Oreochromis niloticus: one gene and its partner. The protein of the gene in region 1 interacts with the protein of each later gene in a pairwise test. Links are inferred from orthologs where the notes say so. Each region holds a gene or a part of one and is shown on either strand. Other genes may lie near its edges.

The links.
Region 2: the proteins of phyh (region 1) and pex7 interact in a two-hybrid assay, tested with the Homo sapiens proteins (2 studies listed by BioGRID, with this or other methods). The link is inferred for Oreochromis niloticus from reciprocal best matches to the Homo sapiens genes PHYH and PEX7.

Annotation. Positions count from the first base shown.
Region 1 is NC_031981.2:35,510,656-35,522,275, forward strand, and holds the start of phyh (phytanoyl-CoA dioxygenase, peroxisomal), read right to left. Parts: upstream 5,459-11,620; 5' UTR 5,364-5,458; coding exon 5,298-5,363; intron 4,609-5,297; coding exon 4,553-4,608; intron 4,328-4,552; coding exon 4,217-4,327; intron 2,700-4,216; coding exon 2,531-2,699; intron 2,219-2,530; coding exon 2,137-2,218; intron 1,696-2,136; coding exon 1,514-1,695; intron 1,424-1,513; coding exon 1,274-1,423; intron 1,087-1,273; coding exon 952-1,086; intron 1-951. UniProt on the Homo sapiens protein: Catalyzes the 2-hydroxylation of not only racemic phytanoyl-CoA and the isomers of 3-methylhexadecanoyl-CoA, but also a variety of other mono-branched 3-methylacyl-CoA esters (with a chain length of at least seven carbon atoms) and straight-chain acyl-CoA esters (with a chain length longer than four carbon atoms).
Region 2 is NC_031980.2:24,481,961-24,493,352, reverse strand, and holds the start of pex7 (peroxisomal biogenesis factor 7), read right to left. Parts: upstream 5,252-11,392; 5' UTR 5,118-5,251; intron 4,616-5,117; 5' UTR 4,594-4,615; coding exon 4,482-4,593; intron 4,111-4,481; coding exon 4,053-4,110; intron 3,269-4,052; coding exon 3,118-3,268; intron 3,043-3,117; coding exon 2,965-3,042; intron 2,889-2,964; coding exon 2,780-2,888; intron 1-2,779. Other genes in the region: uncharacterized protein LOC102082537, read right to left, coding at 7,677-8,350, 8,508-8,783, 9,880-10,009. UniProt on the Homo sapiens protein: Receptor required for the peroxisomal import of proteins containing a C-terminal PTS2-type peroxisomal targeting signal. Specifically binds to cargo proteins containing a PTS2 peroxisomal targeting signal in the cytosol.

The DNA of each region.
Region 1 (11,620 bases):
TCTGTTGCCAACTTCCTGAAATGTCTGTCAGGAGCTTTGTTCATATAATGGGAAGAATGTGACTTTAATTCAATTTTAGCAGGAAAGTTTCTACCCAGTCTTTATTCTCAGGTTGTTTTCTCGTTTAGGGCAATTACATCCACCAAACCACACTTCATTCTAAAGATGCATTAACTGAGTATCTTGCTGCGTTTCTGTTTTAGATATATATATAATGACACGCCAGGTTGCAGGCTTCCTGACACACATGGTTGCTGCCTAGCAGAGGCTGACCTCGAGGTAAATGTAGCCCATGACAGGATCTTATAACGGGGGCTTGTAAACAATAATGAGACATAGACTAGGGATGTTGTTACTTAACGATGCCACTGTAATGTTAACTTAATGATTTTAATCTATTTATAAAAAAGTTAAGACGTTTGTATAAAGCTCAGGCGATCATTACAAGCATATGTACAAACACTGATGATATGTGGCAGACTACAAAAAGGCTGATTACAAATGTGAAACATTGATTTCCAAAGACTTTGTTTTGAAGGAGCCTTGCATGGACTACATGACCACAGCACTTGCTTCCTACCCTGGGCAACACATTAAATTGACAGCCTGTGTCTGACTTTGTTTCCAGTTCCTTGTTATGGTTTAACTTTGTTATCACTCCCTCTTTCATTGCCCAGACCTTTAACGTGTACACTTTCTGGGTTTGTAAGTAAGTAAGTAAGTAAAATTTATTTATATAGCACTTTTTAAGACAAAAAGCTGTTACAAAGTCCTTCACATGGGAATGAAGGCATGTCAATTGTGAGCTATCAGTGCTTGTAGCTAGTGATAAATCAATTGTAAACATATTTATGTGATTAGAAATATTAGGAAAAGCACAATAGGCTCCCTTTAATCAAAAAGCAATAATGTTAAAATAAGATAAATGAAGCTTGGATGTACGTGTCTGACCTTGAAAGTGACTTCATCACCAACAGCGTACTTCCTCGCTACGATCTCTTTCACCTCTTTCTCTATGTTTTCCTGTGTGGTTCCTTTCACGTCAATGTAATAGCAATCACCGCTGGCATAGTGGCAAGAGATTGCCTGTGAACACACACACACACACACACACACACACACACACACACACACACACACACACACACACACAGATATCACACCTCATTATTCATATGCAAAAAGAAATACTACAAATAATCATGTGGTTGTGTGGAGCTAGTTTGCATTAGAAAATATCAGGATCCCAGGTGGACTCTGGGTAATGCAGTACCTTGCGGAAGCCCTGTGTCTGGTTCATGCCAGAGCCGTGGATGAGCAGTGGGTGGAAGAAGACTGTGTCACCCTTTTCCATTTCTAGGTGCACCCTGGGGTGCTCCGGGTCATAGTCTCGGACTCCATGGTACATCTTGTTCACCCCACCCTGAGGACACGTGCAATTATTTAAACACTCTGCGTGTGTGTGTGTACATCCTAGCAGGCATGACTGTAACTTTTACAGTGTTGTGTGTACCTCCCACTCAGGATAGTCATGTTCCTGCAGCGTGCCTTTGTGTGATCCTGGCAGGACGACCAGGCAGCCATTCTGCCTGTTCACCGTCTCCATAGCCGTCCATGCACAGACGATCCGATCGACTGGTCGAAAGGGGAAGTAATGCAGATCCTGATGCATCGGGTGACGAGACGTCTTCTTACCTGGAACGACAGAAGACATGTTAGACATTACGATACCAAACTAGTTTTTATTTTTAATGTCTTCTCACAATTCACACCTTAAAGATACTCTATGTTATGTTTGAGCTTAAGAAATGTATTTGATGCTTCAGATAAATAAAGAACTGGTCATTCAGAGGGAAGATTACTAACACAGTCTAAAAAGAAACGCTAATAGCAATCAAGCACACATCAAAAGTGTTGATGTAATTATGATCAATCCCACAAGAGGGAGCCAAAACTAAGGGACACCTCCAGTTAATACATTGATTATTATTTATCTGCACAACACTTGTCTTAAAAAGAGTCCGGTACCCTACAAATACTTAATTTAAGAGTAAACCCAAGAAGTACTCAGCATCCAAATAAGTATTAAGTATTTGTGACATTGTCGGCCAAACATTTTAGTGAGAATTGAAATACCTGCATCAGGAGGTTTGTTGATCAGCATCGTGTGCATTGCCATGATGTTCGGTCCAATGAAACACTCCACGTACTTCAGGATCTGATAAAGAAAAGCAAAAAGTTTTGTTCTGATAGTCTTCAGGCTCGACTTATTTCATTGTTTATCTAAAGAAACAAATTCGGTGCCCATTCATTTTTTTGTTTGTGAAAAACATTTGGACATTCCAGATTAATGATTTAAGTCCATGTAATGTTTTCTGCGTTATCACCTGTGTGATTACTGATAGCACCTCTATGAGGCACCAAATCCTTTTTATCAGAATCAATTTGGCAATTAACACAGAAAAAAGAACCATCCGAAAAACCCTACTGCTGTGTGTGTTGTCTTTGTTTGTATGTGGCGTTCCAGTACCTCTGGTAAAGAGCAGTACCGGAACAGCTCAGGATCCTCCTGAAAGTCCTGCAGCTTTGAGACAGCTCTCTGATCTGGGACAAACTCGGACTTTGCTATAGCCACGTCCCTCATCACCACCAGACCAGGAACCTTTATTTCCTGTCGACAGATCCGTTCAAACTCCCTCCTGAAGGAGGCACCAAAACACACACACACACACACACACACACACACACACACACACACACACACACACCAAACAGTCAGGACGGAAACATAATGTCCCACAGGTGCTCTACTGGGTTTAGGTAAGGTGAGTATGGGGGTCAGTCAATGAAATCAACTACTACATCCTCCAGGAACTGACTGCACATTCTCACCACATGAAGCTGTGCACTGTCATTCACCAGGACAAACCCAGGACTTGCTGCACCAACGTAGGGTCTGAGACTGAGTCCAAGGATTTCAAGGATGCTGTTGCCAAGCCTGTAGGTCTGTGTCCCTTCATGGATTTGCCTCCCAAGACTATTACTGACCCACCACCAAACCACTCATGCTAAACAATGTTACAGGCAGCCTAATGTTCTTCATGGCTTCGCCAGAGCCTTTCACGTCTGTCACATGTGCTCAGAGTGAACCTGCTCTCTGTGAAAAACACAGGGTGCCAGTGGTGGACCTGGCAATTCTGGTATTTTATGACAAATGCCAATCAATCTCCACGATGACGAGCAGTGAGTGCAGGGTCCACTAGAGGACATTGGGCCACCTTCATAAAGTCACATTTCTGATGCTTTAGTCAGAGACATTCACACCAGTATCCTGCTGGAGGTCATTTTGTGGCTCTGGCAGTGCTCACCCTGTTCTTCCTTGCAGACAATGAGCAGATACTGGTTCTGCTGATGGGTTAAGGACCTTCTACAGCCCTGTCCAGCTCTTTTAGAGTAATTGTCTGTCTGTTGAAATCTCTACCATGCTCTTGAGACTGTACTGGACTGCAAAACGTCAGGCAATGGCACGTATTGATGTTCCATCTTGGAGGAGTTAAACTACCTATGCAAGATCTGTAGGGTCTCCCCTCATGCTACTACTGTAATAAAAACAGTCAGATGAGCAGGAAAAAAATCAGTGTCCTCCACCTGTAAAACCGTGCCTGTTTTGGGGGTTGTCTCACTGTTGCTCCTCTAGTACACCTGTTGTTAATTTCATTAACACCAAAACAGCTGAAATGGAATAACAACCCCTCTGTTAATTAACTGACCAGATCAATATCCCATAAGTTTAACTGACTTGATTCTACACTCTGATTAAAAAGGTAGATTGTGTAGATTTTCCTATCGCCAAACTTTCACATACTGAGTACAGTGCATGTATGAATAATCTCCAAGAGATAAAACGATCAGACTTTGGACTGCTGTAAATTTCCTGCTTTTGGCTATGAAAGATCAGATATCCCTGTCTTCGTTCTGTGCTCACTGCCTGAGCTGCTGCGAGCCAATCAGAAGAAAGCTAGCTCAAAGGGGATGAAAGCTAAAACTGATTAAAATGATTGGGGATCCGCCAAAGGCTGGCATAAAATAAAAAATGAATATTTTGAACTGTAACCTATTCAAGTAAAATATTTATTTTATGTGTTTGTGCTTTTTTTTTTTTTTTTTTTAAAGTACTTATTTAATTTATTATTTATTGCCAAGTGTCTGATGTTACCTGAACCTGTCGATGTCCTGCTTGGACACCAGATTTCTGATGAGAAGGAAGCCATTTTCCTCATAGAAGAGCCGCTGTTCCGGGGTCAGCAGGTCATTATCCAAAGTATACCTGCCAAATTGAAAAATAAAAAAAAATAAAATAAAAAAGCTTGCCTTGCCTTTTGAGCCAATAGCACTGTCATTACCACTTGCTATTACACATGGAGAGCAGAAAAGTAGGACACTGTGGACCTGATCAAAAGAAGAAACTGTGGGAAAGGTGAACGATAAACACGAATGATTGCTGAGTGCATAAAAACCTTTAGCCCGAGGCGGAGTTTAGGTGTGTCCTTACCTCAGTCTCTGTGGGTGACCGTAGCTGACGGTTTGAGCAGACGTGTGTGCAGCTCTCTTCAGCAAATCAGTCAAGGATTTAAAAAAAGCAAAACAAGGGGAAAAATGTCTGCTATAATCGATTATCATTTATAGATTTTAGATTATTATTTATAGATTTTAGATCATTTCCAAGATTTTACAGTGTAACATTCTGCCTTTCTGCCAAAATATGTGAAAATGTCTTTTATGTGAAAATCTGCATTGGTGCTGCATATTAAAACCAGGGAAACCGACAACACTTTTTTAAAACAAATCACATATATAAATTAGTAAATAGCTTATCTTTAAGTTGACCTATCTACAGATAGACCTAACAGATACACTTGTTCACTTGTTATTTAAAAGGTTGATATAGAAAATAATCCAATAAGAGTAGTTTCCGAGCCCTAAGAAACAGTTATAAATGCCTCCAGCTAGCTAGCATTTACAACTTTTATTGCTAATGACATGCAATCCAAACAAACATACTTCTACAGAAACAACGGTGAACACATCAGCTCAAAAATAACTAGCGGTGTTAATAGTGCAAGAATAGTTATAGGCATTCAAGTCCTGTCCTGTCCTTATGTCAGTATTCTCCGGGAGGCCTGCAGTCCACCACTGGATCCCGGTAGCAGAGTATCAGTGTGATCGGGCGCTCACTGCTTTGCTATAGGCTAAGAGCCTCGCGCCCGATTTATCGCAAAGATGAATAAAAAAGATACAATCCCTGCAGAAGGTCTGTCAAGATGGTTGATAATGACTCGGAGTCTCTCCGCAGGACGAGACATTTTCTGTCAAGTACAAGTGCTTCGTGTCCTCCGTAAACTCAAGTAGTGGAGAACTGGGTTGTTGTATTTTACGTACCTCTGCTGACTAGGGCAAAGGCTAACGTGATGACACGCACTCACGCACAGTCTGTGAATGTGCTGTTATGCAAAACACCTACAGGAATACAGTCATTTATGGATCCGTTAAAACACTGCCCAGTTATTATCACAACACCGTGACAAGTTTGATAAAATCAAAAATACTTCAGTGACTTGTAAGGGAAATGATAGTTCCCCTCCTGTGATTAGATGAACTGATCCTTTAAAAATAGCAGAAAAAAAAAAGAAAAATGAAAACTCTATTGTAGAGTTCAAGCATTTTTCTTGTTTTAGCAAACCTTTTCAACTGTTAGTGAACGTTATTTATTGCAAACAACGGGATTACATAAGGATTTCCAGCATCACTAGTAATTAAAGTTTTATCCAGCAGGGAGCACCACACAACAATAATTATTCCCATCATCTTTATAATTTATGCTCTAATTTTAAAGCTGTTGAAAACTTGAGCGTTTCATCATTTCATCATTTTTGGCATCTTCAACAAACACATGCTATTTTGTAATAGAATTTGAATCGATTCAATAATTGATCTACTCATTTCAAGACTGAAATGGACAGTGTTGCATTGTTGTAGTGATGATTAACAAACGAAAAGGAACGGTATGCTAACAAAGCCTCCAACTGTTTCTTTTTTTTATGCATTTCCCAGCTTTGACAAACTATACTCTGATGTCATTCAAACTTAACTTCTAGTTTTACCTACAAGCTAACAAACAAAAAGGCATACAAAATAGTATGTATAAAATGCAGTATGTATTTATGTATAGTCTTTGGTGTATGCGTCTATCTAGACGTTTTTCTTTACGTTTTTCTAGTCTATGATGTGGAAGTTGTCTATTCAAAAAAACAACTTTTAGTTTGTACACTGACCAGATAACCGTCACAGTGGCTTTTATTTTGAAAATTGCAATAGAACAGACCTTTGTTTTGAAACGTCAGCGGAAGTGCCGTTATCGTAATCTATCTTACATGCTCGCACCCCTCCCGTCTCCGCACTCGACATCCTCCTCCAGCCTCTTTAAACTGCCTCCGCTGCCGAACAGACGACTTTTTCGGGTTTCGGTCTGTGTCCGTTCGCCCGCACACTCGCACACCTCTCTGCTTGTTTCGGAGGATATTTTTTTCTCTGGCGGAGCGTGTGGAGCACAAACAAGCACAGACGGAGCTGTGTTTCAGGCTACTTCAGTGGGCGGGTAAAGCGGAGGAGGGCATCCGGGCCTGGCAGATCCGGAGGGTCGGCTTGAAAACGACGGAATTCAACATTTTCAGGTAAAATCGTTGATGGGTCACTTTCAGGTAACTCTTAATGAACAACCGGGAGGCTAGGCTTCGCCCGGCGGCTGAAGACGAAGTCTGAATGGTGGCGAGTGGAAATGGCAAAACAGAGGAAACGGCAGCTGGAGAATAATACAGCCAGACTCTTACTGTAATTCATATTTTACTGTTTACCCAGCGCCTTTATCCAGCACGGTCATACGTGTTGTTTTTGTAGCCTCAAACACTGTCCAAGCGTAAAATCTCTTATTTCACGTTATGTTTGTTTACATAACGTAGCTCAGACATCGGCAGCCAGGCTGCCACCAGCGATAGGAAGCGTACTGTAGATTAAAGGCTGAAATAATGCACAGATGTCATCCTCGAAATCGCCCTAAATCCCAATGAAAACAGTATGGATCATTGCAGGTATGATGCAAGACCTGTTCACAACATATTCATATCACCCCAAAGCTCACAATGCACCATACAATGAGACTTCCCCTTAAAGGAGCAGACATGCATTTTACCATTAACTAGCCTTTGACTTCATATAAGTGTGAAAGAAATGGCTTCTCTGCTACAGTCAGCGCCTTTACTTCAGTTTGTGCCACTTTTTTGCTGATGTGAAAGCACTGTGGAGCAAAGTTGGAATACGAACATTATGAAACTGAGTTAAATCCCTTAAAATAACCTCCAAATAACTCCTGACTTTGAACAAAACTGTGGTTGTTCCTGTCAAGTTATTTGAATACGGTTGAGACACGTTGCTGAAAGTGGAAGATAACAAGCATGCCCTTGAAAATAAGTATTAGGGACTGATTGTGTTTAAGCAGACACAAGCTCAAGGGTATTTGATTCCAATGCACCAGGAACACACTGTCCTGCTGTTACCCTGAAAACAGTGACCTGATGTTAGGTATACTATTGCCCTAGAGTTTCGCCCCGCCCCCAAATTGAATATAAAAGCACAAAAAACAAACAATTACACAACTAGAAATCCAGCATGTCATTTCAGTTATTATCACCATTTAACAATATTAGAGCTCTGCCTACATGAGAGCTTAAAATTTCTGATTATGAAATTAGAAAGAAAGTTTGCATTGTTGAAAGGGAAATAGCTCTGCAGTATTGAACGCTTCTCACCCATCTTTGCTGGGAAGTGCCTTCGATGCTTTTACGCTCTTTTCTATTTCCTGTTTAACCTGCATTTAATTCCAGCGTCCTTCATCTGGAACAACTAGCCGTTCAATTATGTGTATTTGCGAATCTGCATGTGGGCGTTTTGACCCACATTCAGATCTGGGCTGCTGGCTGTGGGAACGATACACCCCGAGAGAACGACATAATTACCCCGACAGCTCCCACTCCATGCCTGTAGGCCCGTATAGCAGTGCTTGTATTGATCAGTCTCTGCATTGTGCCACGATTGTGGGAGGTGTGTATGTGTGTGCATGCGCACACACACTCTATGTTAATTACTTTTGCTCCTGGGACTGACACATGAGGATGTACGTTATGACCTGTCTTCTAGAAGAATGTGGGATGTGTCAGTGGTTTCGGTCTGAGAAATCAAAGTGTCTTGTGATGGACTCACAGCAGGTGTCAGCGATTAGTTTGGAACTTCCTGTCAGAGCGAGTAAGTGATGAATTGGATCAGAGTACTAATTTTGGTGTGAAAGCAAGTATAAGATTCTCAGAACAAAAGATTTTTAAAAACCTTTTTTTGCTATTCAGAGTGACACTGGGCTGTGATTTTAATTTTTCTGTGTCATATTAAAATCACACAATGTGACTTTGCAGGTGGTTTCCCATAACTCAGAAAAAAATCCTAATGAGATCATCGGGGGATATCTAGTCTTAGGCTTAGACAAAAAACTGAAAGGACAGTTTTCGTGTGATTGAAAACATTACCTTACTATGGGGTAAACAGCTGTGTGCCTGGTGAACAGCTGTACAACTGTCTGTACACTGCAAAATGCAATTTTAACTTGAAGCAGTTAGTTTTTGCCTGCATCACTGCCTTAAGGTGGCTTGTGCTATGGAGCTCTATATTTTTTTATTCTACCAGGGTAGCTTTGAGTGATTTACACGTCAGGACTGTCCTTACTTTTCTTATACTGTGCCTTGATGCTGCACTTAGGGTTCATCCTGTCTGAAACAAGATTTTTTTTTTTTTTTTTTTTTAATTCTCCATTGCTTTAAGCCTGATTTTTTTTTTATTTTTTTTTTTTTTTCCTGATTGGCTGCCACATTTAAACAGAAGGTTTGAACAGTAGGTGAGTGGGGCTTCTGTCCTTACGGCTAGAGGTAACTATATTAGGGACCTGCTGACCATTAACATAGAGTTAAAAATCTGAATGTCTGAAACATAGCAGGGAGAACAGTCTGTAGCCATAAAGGGATAAATTATACATACACTGACCTTAATATTTTAGATTTCTGAAATCTGTAATCTGAGTAGGAACTGCTGTTAGAATATAAACATAACAGGAAATAAGGAAAAGATCACTAGATCCACTGTAACTGCCACAAAGTATTTGGGAAAATATGTTATATTCCATCAGATTTTAACTTAGCTGCTGCAGTGATGTAGATGATAATGGCAAGAAAATCATCAGAAAATTCTTTTTTTCTTTTTACTCTTTAGTTTTTCACAAAACACCTAAATGTTGTGTACGAAGAAGTGAATTAGCGAATGGTGGCTGACAATAATGGTGGCAATATCCCAATATGCTTTGCAGCCAGGCAGACTGCACTTCCAAAACATTGTTGCTATTGACAACCAGTCGAATAGCTTTCTCTCTCCCTCCTTCTGCCTCTTGTTTATATAACTCCAACTTGTGCCATATTTTCCAATCAGATAGGTGTTTTTTTGTGTGTGTGTGTGTGTGTGTGTGTGTGTGTGTGTGTGTGTGTGTGTGTGTGTGTGTGTGTGTGTGTGTGTTTCTGTTTCCACACCTCTTTCTTGACTCTTTGCTTTTTAGAATCTTTCTCCCTTCATCTTTGAAATATGTTTGGTGTTTGTGTGTGCGTGCACACTGTTTCTGTTTAATTCATGATTTTTCAACTCTGGTGTTTGCGTGTGCCTTTTCATCCTTGTTCTGTGTGTGCGCTAAATTTATTTACCAAATAAGCTTTTCTTCTCCTACACTTCCAGCACTGCGTAGCTTATTGTTGTGCCGAATTTGACAAAAACTCAGAGGTGGACTAGCTAACAGCCAGGGGGAATGAAAGGGAGACTGTTGCTGTGCTGCTACAGGGTGGGCTTGATGTAGGTGAAGTGGTCATTTCTGGGTTCTTTGGGGGACTGAGAAAATCGTAGGGCTTTCAAGTGAATACAGTTAATGTGGACTGGGTGCAGCGCAACTACACACACACACACACACACACACACACACACACACACACACACACACACACACACACACACTCGTAGCCACATGAACACACACAGATAGTTATGTGAGCCATGCAAGGAATGTGAATTGGGAGTTGACTGTCTCTTTTCCTCTCTCTCTCTCTCTCTCTCTCTCACACTCTCTCACACACACTCACACACACACTCACACACACACAGCTTCTTTTCAAGCTTCAAAAGCTTCAAAAAGTAAAAAATTTAGGTCATATCATCAAGCATTTCTGTCAGCCCTACTGCTGTGTGTGGGTGTGTGCGCTGTCATCTTGTATGAATGTATTTGGGTGTTGGAGGTTTTGTAGGATGTATTTGTGTTGGTGTTAAAGGGATTGAGCAGATGTGTTACTTCTCTTTATTCTCTTCTGTGCAAATAACAATTTTCATACATTGTCTTTTCACATAAACAAATTTAGTCTTCTATTATTTCTGTATTCTGTAGCATTATGGTGCCCTGTCCAGTTTTCCCCCATGGAAGTCATTTAATGACACTTTTCAGTGCAATTGTTTGTGTATTCAGGGTTGAGTTGGGTGAAATTGACTCATAATCTGGAGTTTAAGCATTGTTAGAACCACAGCATGCCGGGATTAACCCCTGCCACACACACACACACACACACACACACACAGAGGTCACACATTTAAAATAAACAGGCGTGCACTTATTATGTCACTTTCCCTCAAGAGGTGAGTGTTTTATTTTCTTTCTGAACAGGATGGATGAAATTTTTTTTTTTCAATCACGTTTTTTTCAGTCTATAAAGTGAAGGAAACATGTTTTCATGGTAATTTTTAGATAATTGTGCTAACATGTTTTGTTTTTCCTCAGTGAATTGTCAATGGCTAAGTTTCTCTAAAGGGCCTAGATTAAGCTTTAGCTTAAACCTTAACTTACTCTTACTCAATAAAACGAAAAAGAAAATTAAGCTGGCCAAATACAGGAGTGTGAGATAGACTTTAGTGGCTTGTGTTGCCTAGTCCAGGGCTGAGATAGCACTTTATTTACTGAAAAGACTCATAGAAAAGGTCAATTTTGACTGACTTGTGTTTAAGAATTTAAGCTGTAAATGGACTGGTACTTATATAGCACTTTGTTACTCTAGTTGAGCACTCAAAACACTATCTTCTATGAGCCTCATTCAACCATTCACACACACACTGCTTTTTTTCTATGCCTTTAGGCATTATCTCATATTCACATACACAGACTACGATGGGTGCAATCAGGGACAACTTGGGGTTCAGTATTTTATCAACGGATACTTTGGCATGCAGAATAGAGGAGCCTGGGATTCAACCATCTGACTTCTGATCATTCGATGACCTGCTCTACCTCCTGAACCACAGTCATAAAGTAATAACAGTGTAAAGCTAGAAGCCAGAAAATGGTTCAAAATAAGCTGTCAGTACATTATTATTAGTGTATTAGTGGCTTGGTAGTACTTAAAAAATGATTACAGTTGTTGGGATCCTCTGATTGAGAATAAGT
Region 2 (11,392 bases), on another chromosome or scaffold:
GATCAAGACACTTTTTCAAAGAGCCCGAGCGTCCTCATTCAAATCTCTGAGCTTAACTCTTGGTGAGAGGACACCACTCAGCACCGCAGAGGAGGACCGATAAGACAAGCGCTTTACATCCTCATCCCTGTGCCGTAAAAAGTGTGTTTCCTCTTCCAGCTCCAGCAGCTTGAAGCCACAGTGCTGCTGCAGGGATTACAGACTGTTTCCTATAGCAGGAGCTGGAACGTTTTAGGGAGCTATGTTATGACCTCCTGTAGGACCCCCTGTAGGAGTCAGTGATGGCTGGTTCTTTGCAGAGACTCACAAATATGATGTTGGTCTTTATAGAGCAGAGCTGCTGCATTGCTGAACCTCACAGAGATCATAATAACATGAACCTATAAGAAGTGAGAGCAGAATAAAGCTGCTCTCTCACATATCGACACTAATAACGGAAAGTCTGTCACATGCAAACCATCTGTTGTCTAATGGACGTCTTGTAGGTAAAAGCAGAGCCTTTTATGTGTTTTAGGACCACATTAAGAGAAACACTGTGTTTTTACTAAGTGTGAGCGTGCGGCGAGTTCACTGGCAGAATATCAAATGCAGTGTGTTCGGTTGAGCTGATGTACAAGACCAACATGGAGGTGAACCGCTGTAAGGGGCGGACACAGACACTCTGAAGGTTTCTTTATGGAGATGTGCTCTCAGTAAAGCATTTAGCTGCAGAGCTGTTATTAAAGGACTGCGGGACACTGTCCTGGGCAGTTTGAAGCCATAACCTGATATTTTACAGACCAGAAAATTGAATGAGTTCACCGAGTTGAGAAACAGGTCAATAAAAAAAGCAGAGAAATCAAAAATCAAATCAATTGAAAACAAATATGAAGCATCAACCACAACGACAAACCCCAGAATTACAGCCTCCAAATTCATCTGTGGCGCCGGTCATCGTATGGTCCGTTAAAACCAACCTCAAGGAGCCATTAATCACACATCTGTCACAGGGATCACTGACACATAGTCAGAACTCAGATCTGAACACAAACACAATATTTTTCTTGTTTTAATTCAGCACAGCCATCGTGAAGAATAAATTCTCAGAAATTTGTTCAAAAATCAGATGAAAAACATCCAGAACTTCCTTAAAAATCTCATCTGAGGACTGCTGGTGCATGCATGAGTCCACTGCAGCACACTCCTAATAACTGAACCCAACCTGAACAGAACTTTTATAGCACACAAACCCAGGATTCAACAGTTATTTGTCCCAGCTGTGTGTTCTGTATACACTCAATCAAAAATAAAAACTCATTTAAGGTCAAATGGCTGGACCTGGACTACCCTGTGAGCAGCGAGGGGTTAACATCTTCCTGCTTTGAGAATCTCATCAGAGGCCTCCACTCGCTCACAAACCAATTAACCCAAACTCATCGGCCAAGACGCATGAGACAGCGCCTCCCAAACCGAGCCCAACCTGAAGGCAGCTGCTGTAGATCGGATGATGCATCGCTGCCCCTGTATGAAGTTTAAACACGCTCCCAGGAGATCATCCAAATGCTCCCTCCGGCTACAAACTCACTCACACTTCAGACTTTTACATGCTTCTCTGGTCTTACTGACCACTCTTCATCCACACTCACAGCCAGTTAACATAAAGTGCACGTCTGCTGGAGGAAACATGTAAGGCCCACACAGTCTCCACCCAACCAGGAACCAACTCTTTAAGCCCTGCACCGCAGCACCTTCGACCTATCCTTCAAAGATGATGCCTTTGATTTATGCTGGTGTGGGACATGTTTTATAGACTTCAGGGGCACCGCAGTTTTATAGACTTCAGGGGCACTTCTACTGTCACTGACCCCAAACATCTGTAGGTCTGAGAGCAGGAAGTTAAGTTTCAAGCTGTTGCAGAGTCTCTGAGAATCTGTCAAGTCTTGCTCTGACAGAGGATGGCGATGTCTCCAGCACGACCCAATGAGACGTGCAGCAGTCTGACGTCACTGTGGAGCGCACCACTACAGCAGACAGAGCCAGGAGGACGGCTTTAAAGATCCCACCACTCAACAATCAAGCACAACGACAGAGAAAAATCACTGGGGCACCCAGCGATGACATCACAGTGACAGAGACACGCCTCCTGCTACAAACTACACCCCTGTGTCTGCATCAGCACCAAACAGGTTTAAATCAGAATCATCAGAATCAGAATACTAACCCTAAGGAAATTATGTGGGTTACAGTTGCTCCAAGACAGCAACAGTAACAGACTAAACTAATTAAATAATACAATATGTTACAGAATTTACAAATTTAAGAAATAGCAATAATATACAAATCGCTCAATTATAAATATCAAGAATATTACATTAAATATTACATTATTAAAGCACAGTGCTTTCCACATGTCGTGTTTAAATTACAGATTTACGTTCCTAACTATGAATTTCTACTAAGACTAAAACCTTCAGTAGTATATTTACTGCCATCATGCAGACTCACCTCACTTCCTACACTGCACACGATGAGGAAAACCTCCAACAAACAACATGAGTGATTACCACGAAAACCTCCAGAGCTCAAGGTGCACTCGTGCTCGCAGACAGACACTGAGAAAAAGCTTCATGACATCAAACATTTCCTCCTTTGTAGCTTTAAATCCAAAGTGAAGCTGAATCTGAGCAGCCTGAAGCAAAGTTCAAAACATCTTCAGGCCTGCTTCCAAAAACCATCACAACAACGCCATCTAGTGGTGAAAGCAGCCACTTTAAACCCTCTAACAGGCCGGCTGACTCACCTGAGGCAGACGCAAAGCATCCTGGGATGTGAGGTGACCAAATGGTGCTGTAGATGACCCCTTCATGACCTCTGAGGGTGGTCAGCGATGGACTGAGAGCAGGGTCCCACTGACGGAGATAAAACTAACATTAGGGAGACAGAACGCAGACGGAGAGGGAAAGAAATGAGAGACTTTCATCTTACCACTTTCACCGTTTGATCCCAGGATCCAGAAACTATCAGGCTTTCTCCTCGAGTCTGACTCCAGTCCACAGCGTACACCTGCACACACGTCACAGTCAGAACACCTGTGTGTGCGTGTATGTCTGTGTGTGCACGCACGCATGTGTGCGTTACCTCCTGTGTGTGTTCTTTAGCCACCCTCAGTGGAGCGCTGTGATTGGCTGTATCCCACAGCTGGAGGCTGCCATCTCCGCCGCCTGCCACCAATACGTGCTCGTTACCTTCACTCCATGCCACGTCGAACAGGCCGTCACCCCACTCCCAGCTGAGACACACACACACACACGGAGACTACATAAAAAACTTTGGAGTTTTGACCCTTGACTGATTTCTTGTTTCTTTTATTCAACTTTAAAGGTTTATTTCAGGGATTTTTAACGGTGGTGTGAAGCAGTCGCCTGCAGTTCGTAGCTACGCAGCTTCCAACAGGAAGAGCAGAAAAATAAACTTCCTGAAAAACAGCTAGACTATTCTCACTCCTTTTCATTTTGCCACAGAGTCCTCTCCGTCAGCCCGAAGCCTTTTCTTCTGAAACGGCGACTTTAACTGATAGAACAGAGGGAGACAAACATCCATGATTTTTGGGTCCATCATCACTGACGCCTCACAGGACGACCAGCGATGCTGGTTTTGGTTTTGCCCCCTCTCTGTGTTTCAATCTTCCCCAGATGTGGAGTTAACAACCTCAGACATGGCACACTTCACACAAAGATCTCATATCTACAGAATAATCACACATACGTCATCACTCAGAATGCAGTCGAGGAGGAATGTGACTCCTACTGATTTGTACATATCATCTGCATTTTTATTATTTTCTGAGTTTTTAGGCCATGTCGCTCTCTCAATGGAACTCCTAGTAAAATTAAGGTAAAGTCACATAAAAGCAGGGGTTTCTGTTTCCCTCGCAGTCCAATAATAATCTGATCTGTGCCGAAATTAGATGAAAACGAGCCCTAAACCTCCTGCAACTTCTTATAACCATCATTTGTAAGCATAAAGGACAAAAACAGATGTTAGAGAGAGAGAGATGAGGAAACAGATGTTACCTTCTCACTAAGGTGAGCCCAGTCTCGGTTTGATCCAGGACCAGCAGTGTGCCGCAGCCTGTACACACACACACACACACACACAGAGTGAATGGAAATGAGAAAGCTGTCTGACTCTTTAAAAACCACGTGATGCTCGTCTTCATCAGGGTCTGTTCAGCTTGCTGAGGTTCCTCCATCAACACAAGGTCAACGTCCAGAAACAAACAGCACGTACTATTTTATTTCATATTATTTATATGGATCAAAAGTCAGGAAACTAGAAGTGATGAAGAGCCAGAAACTGGAGTTCCTCTAATGTCCACAGGAGGCTCCAGCAGTGAGCCGAAACCAGGGGGTTTTCCTTCACCCTGTGTAATTCATTCTTTATCATGTGGAAACCTCATACAGGTGTGTTCTCCACACTGTGACCTCTTGAACTCTACTGACCTGCTATCCCGTAGTACTGTGAAGCAGCACAGGCCACTCTGCTGGGGATATACGGAGACACTTCCACTGCATAGCCGTGACGGGCCGGACTGCGAAACACCTTCACCGTCATTATCGTCACATACAAGGAAACCCTGTTAGACAGAAGGGTTTAAAGTGACTGGAAAGATGACACTGACTATTTACTGATAAGCAACTCAAAACATACAACAATAACAAAATAAACACTGGCACTCAAACCATGAAGTATTACATGACTAAGAAGAAGCTTGAAATCTATCCACAGCTTCATCATCATTACAAGAAGAGTTCAGCTTGTACTGTTATTTTGAAGCTTTTTTTATGACTCTCAAGCGAAATATTTTAGAAAATGTGACAATTAATGTGCACAAAACTTGTAAAAGGCTGTGAACCCGCCCTGTTGTGTTTTTACAAATAATCCGTGGGGTTCAGAGATGCGAAGCTCTGCTGAGTTTGTTAATCTGTTCACACGTAAGAAGTCCGCAGGACTAAAATCCCGTTTTATGACTCAGACCGTGTCCGATCAGCACCTGCTCTCGTGTGGTCTGCAGGTGACAGAGTGACTTCACGGACCCTGATCACATTTAAATTGAACATGGCTGTCACGTGACTCACAGAAACCAGGTCGTCTCGTGGAATCGAGAGAAAAAAGCTTCAAAGCTTCAGAAACCCACAGAAGAAGCTCCCGCTGCTCCTGCTGCTCCTCTCACTCCACTCACTGCTCCTCCACTTCCGTGTTTTGATCAGCTGACTCCGGACTGAACGTGCTACACTTGTAGTTGTACAGTTCGCCACCTGGTGGCGACATTTCTTTACCTTAAAACCAACAAGTGCGCTTATTAGAAATTGTTCTAGATAAATTACTTAAAAACACGACATTCAGGTAAATGAAGCTATACAGGAAATGTTATTTACATTTGTAAAAATCTATTTTCATTTTTAAATTTAAGGAAAGATTTATAAATAACTAGGAAAATCTTCATATTTTATTAATTATAATTTCCTATTAAATTAGATTTTTGCATTATTTTCTAACGAAATGGAGCATTTGCACGTTCACGGAAGGAGTAGTGGTCACAGTGCTTTTGTGCTTCGTGCAGTTAAAATATTAGTTTTCATTTCCTCAGAAATGACCAAAGATTATTTTTATTTTTAAAACAACAATTTTATGGAAACTGACTTCCAACTTTGTTCAGAGTCTGTGTACGTTCAGTAATCCACATGTTATTCCAGAGACCAGAAAATGATAGTTTGTATATGTAAGAAAACATCCTTACAGCGGCAATTTCCTGCTGAATCTGGGTCACAGCATGAGCATGAAAACTTCACATTAAGGTGAAATACTCACAGCAGCACACTAAGAGCTCTTTTCAGTCAGTAATCAGGTTTTAATCGGCTCCTCCTGAAGCTCACTTTATGAATGGTGGAATAATATTTGCAGCAGTCTGCTCAGGTGTTTGCATATGAAGTTCACTCTAAGCATCACTCAGCTGTCAGGATTCACTTTGAAATAAAAACACAAATGACTGCAAGAAGAGTTTTTTTTTTTTTTTTTAAACAAAGAACAAAAACAGCACAAACACAGAAAAATAAAATCAGCTGCAGGATTCTGAAACATAAAAAATGTTCCAACTCAGGACTGAATAACATGGGAGAGCAGCCTGAGTCGTGCACACTAACCAGAGTGACAGGAATCCTTCGCTGAAGCGTTCAGTGCTATCTGGGAAAAATCACGCTCTTATGATTGTTTAGAATTACAGACAGAAACTTTTCTGTAATACAAAATGTGCTTTTCTGCATCACACATGGAGCGTTCAGCTCAGATAACATAACCAAAGACGCTGTGGCCTCACACTCTCACAGCCAGGAGGAAACTTTGATTGCAACCACAGCTCCATAAATACTGCATCACCATGGAAACCAGGAGAAAGCTGCAACTGGTTACTGGTAATAGGTACAAATATTATTTACAATTTCATTGATCATCACTGAACTCCTGATTCAGAGGAGAGGTTAACATTAGTAAAGCAAAGATCACACTTTGGTCTCAGTGTGACTGGCCTTTCAAAATAAAAGTACATAAAATACATTGAGTGGTTTTAACAGTCTGAGATGATCTCAGAGGAACGTGAACCAACATCTCTCTGTTTGAGCTTCGCTTCATTCAAGTCATAAAAGATCCTCGTTCACGTCGGGTAAAGAAGTATTTTAGGTCAGGGACAGAGAAGAGGAGGAAAAGTGGGTCTGCACTGCTGGAGTGCACCATCTGCCCTGACGTAGCGTGTGACACTTTAGGACCACAAACTTAACAACACAATAATTAATGTGCTACAAAGATCTTAAGAGCAGATCTTTATCACTTTACCTGCTTGCATCAAGATTCAGGCTACATGGACACATGAAGGAGGCGGCGCCTGCAGCTTATTAAACACATGATACAAGCTGCACCCATTCATGTCTGTGTGTGTGTAACAGTGTGCTGTACAGTAGTGAAGTATTAAAGTGTGTGCTCTGAATGCTTTAGTGAGTATGAACGGTGATGGTGCCCGATCACAATCACGTCTTAGCTCTGTGATCAACTGACAGGTGGACAAACGCAGACTGTCAGAGAGGCGTCTGCTTACTGTCCTCCGTTGCGCTGTTTGACCGTCTGAGAAAGACGACAGAATAAATATTCTTAATTCAGATGTAGGCTTCATCTACAAAGGTTCAAATTTTAGACACTTTAGCATCAAATCACCACTTTGAGAGTTACAAGCCGACGAAGCTGTTTTAAATCTGCAGACGGCCATCTTGCAGGAATAAAGTTGGTCATGAAAAACTGCTTTCTAAATCTAAACTTTAGAAAGTCTCCTGCTAGCTGAACACGGATGTGCAGGTGCACAGAGTCCTCTGTGCAGAAGTTTAAGTCCGCATTAAGTAATCAGACATCAACACTGAAGCGTGGCGTTAACCCTGCAGTGACCCTGATGTGCCCGAAGTCCTGCTTTGTGCAGACATCCATTTAGTCATCGATGAAAACAGAAACCCGGGATCTGGAGTCATCGGTCAGGGACAGACCATCAAATCTGGAGCTACCTGAAGCAGCTGTAAGAAGAGTCAGCACCTGTGGAGTCTGCAGGGAAGATTCAGTGCTTCCCCTTCGAATGAGCTTCCATCAAAACGTTTGTGGGCTCACTGGAACTTTGTGGCACCAAACTCGGCCTCATGCAGAAACTGCTGCATCTTGGTTCTGACCCACGACTGTTTCTCTGCTGTCAGCCTCCTCATAGCCGGAGCCAGGCTCAGCAGGAACAGCGTCACGTCGTCCCTCTGCTCCATGTCACGCTCCCTCTGCGCATCCCTGGCTTCTGTTTTCCTCAGGAATTCCTCCAGCAGGCCGTCGACGCTCTTCCTCTTTGGCCGGAGCGGCCTGGGAGAGGCGGGGCGGCGCTCTTCCTCCACCTCCTCCTCATCGTCCGTTTGGACGAGCAGCTCGTCCACGTCACCTTCCGGCTCTTCTGTCTTCAGCTGGTTCAGCCGCGCCGCCGTCCAGGATGGCGGAAGGCTGCGATGATGACTCTGCGGATCCTGCTGCAAAAGAGGGGTCTGCGAGGAAGAGTGTGATGAAGCTAAGGTCGCAGCAAGAGATGTCACCGAGTGCATCATCATCTCAAACAGCTCCTTCATGTTGGCGTGCTGCTGCGTCTGCACGCCATCGTCAGTGGCTGCGGCACCCGAGTTCACCTCAACCTTTGCTTCTTTGGGCCTGGAAGGGTCCAAGCCAACAGAGGGCGGCCGCTTCCTCTGCGGGAACTCTGAGGATGAGGACGAGGAGGTCGTCGTGGTCGCGTCAGCTACGGCGAACCCTGAAAACAGACAAAACAATCAGAACTAAATCGATGTCGAATCACGAGAAAATATTAATCAGAGGCCGTCAGAGATCCGGGTGCTCGGACTGCACATTGAAAAGCTGATGAGGAACTACTGCAGGCTGGCCAATCAGAAGGAAGCGTCGGTACGAACCGTAGCTCTCGTCGTCGTCACTCCGTGTCTCCGTGGTCGTGCTGCAGCCGACCATTTCGGCCACCTGGACCTGAGAGGGCTGTGGGTCCAGGGCCCAGCCGTTGGTGCCGGCTGCCCGGGCGTCGATGAATGGATTCAGAAAAGACAGAATGGACGAGTACCTCCATGGCCGGTAGTTAAAGAGCCCGATGCCGCTCTCGCGCCGCTCCTTCTCGCGCTGCCTCTCCCTCCTGTGCTGGTCTCTCAGCGTCTTCCACTTCCTTCTGCACTCCGACTCTAATGTGGAAAACCACAAGTTTGCTTTAATTAAACCATAAAACCATAAAATCCAACAGTAAAACCATCCTGCTGTGTCCACAACCAGAGACACACACAGAGAGTCACATTAAATGCTTTATTTTCACCTGCATACAAAAACTAAAACTAATCTTTGCTCTAATTTAGTTTATTCTGCAAAAACTAAAACAAACTCTCAAACAACCAAACTATTTTTGTTTCCTTGGTCATATTTCACAGCTAACTTGTGTTTGGACAATATTCAACATTTGAAGCAACTGACTTGACTGAAAATACTGAAAATAACAAACAGTATTATTCACATGTGAAAATACTCACAGCTCCAAACTCCTGTGTGACTTTTAACCAAATTAACCAAACCTTCCATACATTTATGATTAATTATATTAGGCTGTTTGTTTTTTAAAAAAAATGCAAATAATAAAAATTCCATGGAATTTTATTTTAAAGGCTTTTAAATTTAAATTTAAAAAATCAGTAATTTCTATCATGTTATTATTAAGTTTATATGTTAAAACATATAAACCCATAAATAACAAAAGCGTATAAACAGTTCCTTTATTCTATATTCTTGTATTTTATTTTCCTTTCTTTTCTTCAGGGAACCATAATTTACTGTATTCGAAAAATTTTAGGTTCAGTTAACAAAGACTGTCTACATGAGTAAAACCTTACATACTTATTTTACACACACTCTTACATATTTGGTCGTCATCACCTTTTTTCCCCCAGTTCTGATTACTAAAAAAATCCACTAAGACCAGTTAATTCCCAGTAAATACAATATATGAGTAAAAACCGCTGATTAAAGTTGTCGTATATTTTCTTACAGTATTGTAAAACTTTCATAAATCTGTGCTGATTGTTCTGAAGAGGAACCATTGTGCTGGAGTCGAGAGGCGACGAGGGTCGGAACATAATAAAGGTCGGACCGTATTTGTTTTGAACTTTTCTCTTTGATGAAAATCTGAATGTTTAACATGTTTTGAAAGTTTTCCGTCTCGCCCACATCGAAAGTGCTCCCGTGTGAGAGCTGAAGTTCGGGCCGGGGTCTCGGCGCTGTGCTGAAACTCACCGGGGACTCCGACGATCTCTGCCACCTGCCGCCACGCGTCGCTCCGCATGTTCAGGTCCCGATAGGTCGGAGAGTTCATGTCGTAGAGACTCGGGAAGCCAGAGACCGCCATGATGAGCTTGTATTCCATTCTCCTGTGTTTAAAACTCTGGCGGAGCGGAGCCGAGCTGGAAAGAAAATAAAAGAACGAATGGGGGGAAACACTACTTCCGTTTCCGGTGCGTCACAGCTCATTTGCATAAAAAGTGACCAGATTTCAGTCCTTTGTTCACTCCATCAAAGAAAATCACATTAAACAGGATAAATAGTTTCTTCTTAAACTGATAGTTGTCCCAACTTGTCTTCAAACATTTTAGAAACAATGAGTTTTTGTTTGTTTGTTTACTGACATACTTCTTTGGCCAGCCTGCCCTTGAGTGTGTGTCACACACCTGTCTACAGCCAGCATGGCGCCTGATGTGAAATCACTGAAAGAAAAGAAAACCTACAGCGTCCTCGTTAGGAGCCATTTGGCTCACAAATGGGACAACGACCTAAAAGAAACTGGTAGCTCGGTGACGGCACGGTGAGTTTTTTTCTCATTTAGGGACCGATTGGAATTAGTTGCAGTGACCAGCTCGTTACGTTGCTGGATGGGAGGCAACCTGTCTCCACAAAGTTGCAGGTTGATTGGCAAAGGTTTGCAAATAATCCTTACCACTTACAAACGCAGACAGATTTCCAACACAGTGGAGCACTTCAGACAAGTGCAGCTCATCTGCAACTTATCTCTCTAAAGTAGGGGACTCCACTCAACTGGTTGCCAACGGCCACATTATAGTTTGAGTCCTGTATCAAAGGAGGCTGCTGAGCATCAGTGTTGTTTGTGAGGGAATTTCAGTTTCAGGTCTATGAGTTTCTGGCTGGACTGTGAATGAAAGCGGTTAATGTGAATATCTGTGTATGTAGACAGCAACAGATAATCAGGTATATAACCTGAGATTATTAGTTAATAGGTGATTTTCAGGCAGTTGCCACAAAACACAAAAGTGCCATCTTTAGCAGTTCTCTGTGTGAGAAAGAAAACATATATTTCATCTGCACATACATCTCATGATCACATAATCATATACATCACATGACAGTCTCTGTCTTCTGTCTATGTATCTTCATAATTTTAACTTACAGTCATGATTTTTCTGGACTTAAAGGAAGGGAGAGTCACATGTTTGGCTGCTGATCAGGAACAGATCCACTGCAACACCAAGTTGGTGTTAATAATGAGAAACAAAGCCTTCAGTCCTCGAGCTACAGGACACGGAGTCAACATCACGGCTTCGCCTTCCACAGTCTTTCTAGCTTGACGTGTCCTCCTTTGGTTTCTTTGGTGAGCTGCTGAAGAGAAATCATATTAAACTTGAATTGTTTTTACTAGAAATACGATCACTTTCAAAGATAACCCTGAAGCATCATGTGAGCTGGAAAGTAAAAGTCATTTGTACAATAAAGCTGTGTGACTGCACTTGCATTGTGA